Kluyveromyces lactis: one gene and its partner. The protein of the gene in region 2 purifies or fractionates together with the protein of the main gene of each other region. This does not show direct contact. Links are inferred from orthologs where the notes say so. Each region holds a gene or a part of one and is shown on either strand. Other genes may lie near its edges. The genes, in order: RPB5 and SPT5.

Region 1 (2,686 bases), on a different chromosome or scaffold from region 2:
TTTGACAAGGTCTGTTACTGAACAAAGTATCGAGAGATCTGCTACACCTTCAAGCACATTTGGTTTCCATAACAGATCATCGAGGGTAAAACTAGAAACTAACAGCATCGATGACCTTCATAGTATCTCTTCTACTGGGAATGGTGAAGTGAACTTCAAATTCAATTCAAAGAGTTTTTCCAAAGATCTGTCTGAACGAAAGCCAGGACTTTTCTTGAACGAATATATCGAAGAAGTTTATCACGCTTATTTGAAACAGGCTCCAAACTCCTCATCAACGTTCATGAAGTTTGGGAGGCGGATCCCCGAGACTTTGTTCATCAGAGACTCAACTAGACCCGTGATACAAATCAAGAGTGGATGCATTCTCACGGTCAACCATTGGAAAGAGGGGTCCACAGGGGAAACTATTGCATTTTCCACATATCTCCCACCCCCTACATATACGGCAAACGACTTGATCGATAACTACCATACTTATGAATCATTAGAAAGACATCTCCCGATATGGCTTGGAAAGATTCTTTTCAAAGAGGATAAAGTCATTAAGACGTACCCAAAAATCACATTCATCATCCAGCCTTGGAAGGACGAGGCTCATTTATCGGAGGAAACGCAACAATCGCCAGAGGCTGAAAGACTAGTAGTAGAACATAAAAGATCAGGGTTCCACAAAAAATCTAAACCACCTGAATCACCCTTAATGCTACCGAAGATTAACGATAGCAATGTTAGATTAACAGCTGCAAATATGATAAAGGCAAAAAAGATCAAGACTTACATAGTGGATAGATTCGAATCAAAGACACCTGAGATGAAAAACAAAGAAGATCCAAGCGAATGGTTAGAAATCTTGTGCAAAGGAACAGTACTAGAAAACGATATCACCCTGAGTGCTATACGCACTTTATACTGGAAATCAAACACAGACATTGTTCTTGAATATAGACGTAAACCGACTTAAAATTAAGAGAGACTGTGAGACTAAGTTCTCACCCAGGCTTATCAATATATATATATATAACTAAATATAGACATATATACAAACATAGAACTACACCTGCCGCCCTTGACTCAGAGCATTCCATACCAACACAAGACAGGCACGTGACTGAAATCATGAAGGACGAGTTTGATGGTTTGGCTCTGTTTCCTTCTTTCATCGCATTGAAATTTCGAAGGTTTGTTGAAGTTTTTCTTTTTCTTTTCAGCCAAAATTTTCCAAAATTTAGAAAGCGATGAGAAACAAATCCATTAATTTGTTGATTGAAATTTAAGAAAAGATTGAAGTTAGGTAGCCGAATAGTCCTTGTACCGGTTGAAATTAAGGGGTAAGATTAGTTTGCATATCGATAATTGAGTTCTTAGTACTTGTTTGTGCATATCGATAATTGAGTTCTTAGTACTTGTTTGTGCATTTTAGAATTTAATACGAACTAATCTTCAAGCGGAAAAAGTTAGTTTCATAAGATATCAAAGGCAAGTGACGCACAATTTTTGTAACAATGGATCAAGAGCAGGAGAGAAACATTTCCAGGCTATGGAGAGCTTTTAAAACGGTGAAGGAAATGGTTAGGGACCGTGGATATTTCATTACCCAGGAGGAAATAGATTTGAGTTTAGAAGATTTTAAGGCTAAATACTGTGATTCTATGGGCAAGCCACAACGTAAGATGATGTCTTTCCAGTCCAATCCAACCGAAGAATCAATAGAAAAATTTCCTGAGATGGGTTCATTATGGGTGGAATTCTGTGATGAAGCATCTGTTGGTGTGAAGACGATGAAGAATTTTGTGGTTCATATTACGGAAAAGAACTTCCAAACTGGTATATTCATCTATCAAAGTGGTATTACTCCAAGTGCAAACAAGATTTTACCAACTGCAGCACCAGCAGTCATCGAGACTTTCCCAGAAGCATCTTTGGTTGTCAATATTACACATCACGAACTAGTCCCAAAGCATATCAGGTTAAGTGAGGCTGAAAAGAAGGAATTATTAAAAAGATATAGATTAAAGGAATCTCAATTGCCTAGAATCCAAAGAATGGACCCAGTAGCATTATACCTTGGTTTGAAAAGAGGCGAGGTTATAAAAATTATTAGAAAGTCTGAAACTTCTGGACGTTACGCAAGTTACAGAATCTGTTTATAAGAGCAATTAAAAAGAGCCATTCCCCAACCCTAAGTAAAGTAAATGCGTGTGTATAATAATAGACCAAATTAGAGCAAGAGAAACTAATAGGGCCTTAAACACACTCTTCGTATGAGAACCCATCAGGGGATATCATAATCTAATTACGATTCTTTTTTCAATTATTTAAGGAAATGATTAATCACGTTTTGAACATAGCATGTCTGAATTAAGAGAGTTCATTGATATAAGAATTCGAATTTTTAGGAAAACAGGTAAAGATCAGGAATGGCTCACAAGACGTGAACATAACACGCTATCCCTTGTTCCCTTCCACCAGGAGATATCTTTCAAATTAATTTCAATAAGAGGAGACACTTCAACACCCTCACTACCCAAGAAGGTGGCACCAACGGTGATGACCAGGGCATCGATAAGGTGTGGTCTCTGTAGCAAATCATTGATAACAATCCCACCACCTTCAACCATGATGGATTTTAATCCGAATTGAGATTTCAATTGGATGAACAAATCGTGCCAGTCCACTTTACCTG
Region 2 (4,525 bases):
GCGATTGATTGTTACCCCAAGTGGAACTTCCACCGGTGTTTTTAGATCGTTGTGATTTATTACCACTGCCACCCCAGGCAGAGACACCTCCCTGGTTACCACCCCAGGTAGAAGTACCTCCATAGCTTGATTTATTGCCACCGCCCCAGGCAGAAGCTGCTCCTGATTCTCCGCTTGCTGCCCAAGAAGAGGCGCCTCCATAACTAGATTTATTACCCCAAGTGGACGCACCACCCCAAGTTGATGTAGCACCTTGCCCACCCCAGGTGGAAGTGTTTCCAGCAGCTCCACCCCAGGCAGAAGCACCACCAGGGCCTTGTCCGCCCCATGTCGAAGCACCACCCCAGGATGAAGTTCCTCCGTTCTGGCCAACCGCAGGAGTTTTACCGCCATCAAATGCATTCCAACCAGGAGTCATTCCACCAGGAAGTTGTTGCGGAGTGTTCGTTGCCACCGCACCACCGGCAGCCATGTGTCTTGGTGCACTGACATAGCTTGGGCCCAATCTGGTATGTGGAGTTCTACCACGTCTACTAACAAGTTCATCGTATGTTATACCTTCACCACCTTCATGACTGAAGTAAGTAAGTTTTCTTTTGTCTATTGTAATATGCTTATTTTTGGAGTGCAATTCAATAGTAGCCTTATCTCCATTGACGTCTTTGACAATACCCAACTGCCCCTTGTATCCCGCAGAACGTATCCTAACAGTTTTGTTCAAAGCGACGTCACGGCCAACTAACCGCGTCTGCTGAGTAGTTTGTGGTGGTCCCATCTTAGACGCAATATTTGGATTTATTTTAGATAAATCCAATGCTGACGACATCAAGTTTTCTTTTGAGGCGACAGCCTCGACATTCATTGGATTAACAACGAAAACACCGGCATTTTCCGTTATTGTTTTCGATCTAATGAAAATATGTTGGTTTTGAACGTAGAGTACTTGTCCCTCTCTACGGGAACCGATCTTTTCTCTTACTACATCGCCAATTTTTATTTCTCTACCATTACCATCGACAGCAGCTACTTTCGCTCTTGCTACATTGATCTTGGCAAGAATTGAGCCTTTAGTAACAGTAGCCACTTTACCGGAGTCGTCAATAATCTTGAAAATATCATGTCCAGCCTGGATCACACATGCCACGTTTTTGGCACTTAACTCAACAATGTCATGTAGAGCGTACTCGCTTGATGTCGGAGTAGAATCCATAGATTTACTCAAGTTATTCGCAGAGATTGTCAAATTTTCTCTAGTTTGGTCAGAAACAAATGTGACTTGACCGTTCTGCACCAAAAGAACCAAACCAGCGTTACCTTCATGTTCACCAGCTATTACTGTGACATGGTCACCAAGTTCGAAAATTTTTCTTAGAGATGCAATTGGGAACTCTAATGATTTATCTGAAAAGCCCGATAGTTTAACGCTGATGACGTCTTTAGAACTTCTAGTCACCACACCTCTAGATCCACGTTGTTCCCCGGTCAACACTTCAACACGGTCACCTGGTTGAAACATAGCTTTAGAAGCTTGAGCTTTTTTCATAGTTTGAGCAATAGCTGCTAGATCGACATCACCTTCTTTACTGCCGAACCTTGATAATTCTTCCACCGTAGGTTGGATATTCTTTGTATCAAGATACTGAATCTTAAAAGATTTGAAAAGATAACCGTCAACATAATCTTCCTTCCTGTAAGTGAAGTGCCTGTCATCTCTTTTGAATAAGTTGGCTTGGTCTAACCTTAATGCCATAGTAGGGTTAAATAATTGAGGAGGAGGCCTACTAGCAAACGTTGCTCTCTTTGCCTTTCTCTGATTTGTATCTGGGTCGATTTCGTCATTTTTACCGTAGTCTAATCTGGGTACAATCTTTAATAGAGCTTCTAAGTTGTTCTGACTAATTTGATCAATGACTGCCAAATCATTCTTATAAATACCCCTTTTAATTCTAACATAAGAACCAACATCAAGTCTCACTTCATCTGACTTGGTAGGCTTTAATAGTAAAGGTAGTTCTTGCACGGGAATCAAAAGCTTTTGATTAGAATAGACATCTGGAACACCGTTGACAAATTTTTCGATAACAGATTGTTTTGGAGCTTCGATATAGATTCTTCCTGTGTAATTGTCTCTTTGGAAGATGGACAGAATCTTTAATTTTTTAGAGCCCATAGATTTATCCAAGTTAAACTTCTTATTTAGCAACTTTCTCACTAGTTCTTTCTCCTTCCCTGGTCTACAACGAACGGACCAAATAATAGCAGTATCAACACTTGGTAACATAAACCTCTGAGGTACATACCCACCTTGAGTTTGTACACGGTAATCTTTGGAAGAGTCACGACCATAACGTTTCTTGAAGTCTTCAGCGATCTTGTGCATGTCTTCATCCGCAGTTTTTTGAAGATTTTGATCTAATTCTCTATGCAGTCTGTCATCAACTCTACCACCACGATCCTCTTCGTCTTCTTCGTCACCGCGAGTAATGAAACCTTCACGAACTAGTTCTGAATCTTCTTCATCTTCTTCGTCGTCTTCGTCTTCACTGACTTCGGCTTCAATATCCAAGAATCTGTTTCTTTCACGACGTTGCTTCTTCCTATATGATTCGACATCTTCATCTTCGTCATCGTCATCGTCATTGTCATCGTCGTCATTGTCATCTTCATCATCTTCATCGTCTTTGTTTTCTTGACTGTTTTCTTGATTGTTCCCTTGATTTCCCCTAATTGGACTATCTTCAGTAGCCTCTGTCTTTGGTTTAGAATCAGTAGGAGCGTCCTTTAACTGATCGACAGATGCAGAGTTGTTTTCAGAACTCCCATCAACTTCATCGATAGTTCTTTTCTTGCCTCCAACCACATCTGTAGAATCAGACGAAGATGAAGTAGAGTTATGCTCCTTATCTTGACTCTCAACTGACCCAGAAACTGTTTCAGGTACAGAAACAGCCTCTGCTTTATCGGATTCCTCAGCAGTACCGCTCATGACGTCTTACTGACTGTTGCTTTGTATCGTGAATGCGAACTGTAATGCATACTGATCATCATTACAACTTAGCGTGGACTACCATTTTTGTATTGAAAATTGGGAAGTTTAGATTGAAATTTTTCAAGGATCACAAATAGAGGGTAACTCTCGCCTAAGTATTTCAAAAGTACTTAAGTAGCCGATGAATCAGTCTGCATCACTTCATAACGAACGGGCAGCTAGTACCTTATGTAGTCTTTAATATATAACATCAGCTCTGGCTACGTTAAGGACAATATTAACCGATGAGTCATTGCTGACCAGATAATGTAGTTATGCGGAAAAAGAATGATGTCAGTTATGACACAATTACCAGATGGAATGAGGCCAGAATGCCCACCGAGATTGAAGATGAAGTCCTATCGATATATTTAAGCTTCACCGAAGAAGGTGAATTCAAGTGGGCTGATATTTCTAGTTTTTATACGGAATTACAAATCAGTAAATCATGGTACGGATTATTAGAATTCAAGGACTTATGCTTGGATGGAATTGACGTCATAGATTTCGAAAAACTCTTGGATGTCACTTATCGACTCTTGATCTTCATGGACAACGAGAGTATAATAGATAAACAATGGGAACTACTATTAAAATATACCGGTAGATTGCAACAGTTCCCTAAGGTTGCACTAAGGAAGCACGTGATAAGTGTTAAAGATGTCCAGAAGGCTGCTGTTCAAGTGGATATGGATCAACATATTATCCTGTCAATGGTAAGTTGGGCTACGAACGGCGAGAGGGTATTTGTCACTTACCTAGACTTTGCCAAATTACTTGGTAAAATGGGTTTATTAAGATACTAGCATCATTGCAATCCACTAAATAATTCACTTCCTAAAAAACACGTCAATCTTTGGAACATTTGGAAGAATATCACTAGTAACTTAGTACAAAACTTATAAATGTAACTGGTGGCCATATCAACATAGAATTCTAGCAAAAACAAAGACCTACCCGTCTAGGCATAATATAATCCCTTTCCCCCTCTACTCGTCCGATTTAGAAATTATGCCATTTTCCATATATAGATACTGTACACGTATAAAAGGCTCACCATATGATGTATGTTTCTTCAATTCAATATTTGAAGATCGTATTGAGATTCAAGGCATTGAAACTATTCGAACATTCTAAATAATGTGCTTAGCTCTAAAGAAGTTCTTCATGTAGTTTACTTGCCATGCACCCAAAGCGACCAAAACAACGATGACAGCGATAGAAAAGTTTCTAACTCTTCTGTTGGTGGACTCGTTGGTGTCTCTTAGTCTTTCTTCTCTCCCCTTCAAGTAGTTGAATTCATCAACAATTTCGTCAGTCAATTCTTCAATCCTACGTAGTTCAACTTCCACCGGTTTCAATTTTTCACTGGCTTGAATCTTGTTCCAATCACGAGCCTCGGATCCGGATTCAATATCCAATTCAATGGAACGGCTCAAAGATCTACCGTTAACTTGCGCCACATTCTCGAAACAAACATCAAATGAGGTGGATTGT

The links.
Region 1: the proteins of SPT5 (region 2) and RPB5 purify together in Saccharomyces cerevisiae (affinity purification with mass spectrometry, with the first as the bait; 3 studies listed by BioGRID). This does not show direct contact. The link is inferred for Kluyveromyces lactis from reciprocal best matches to the Saccharomyces cerevisiae genes SPT5 and RPB5.

What each region holds. Positions count from the first base shown.
Region 1 is NC_006042.1:1,968,073-1,970,758, forward strand, and holds RPB5 (DNA-directed RNA polymerase core subunit RPB5), read left to right. Parts: upstream 1-1,505; coding exon 1,506-2,153; downstream 2,154-2,686. Other genes in the region: DUF1 (Duf1p), read left to right, coding at 1-964; RIB7 (2,5-diamino-6-(ribosylamino)-4(3H)-pyrimidinone 5'-phosphate reductase), read right to left, coding at 2,415-2,686. UniProt on the Saccharomyces cerevisiae protein: DNA-dependent RNA polymerases catalyze the transcription of DNA into RNA using the four ribonucleoside triphosphates as substrates.
Region 2 is NC_006038.1:68,367-72,891, forward strand, and holds the start of SPT5 (transcription elongation factor SPT5), read right to left. Parts: upstream 2,987-4,525; coding exon 1-2,986. Other genes in the region: RAD33 (Rad33p), read left to right, coding at 3,304-3,834; ERV25 (Erv25p), read right to left, coding at 4,162-4,525. UniProt on the Saccharomyces cerevisiae protein: The SPT4-SPT5 complex mediates both activation and inhibition of transcription elongation, and plays a role in pre-mRNA processing.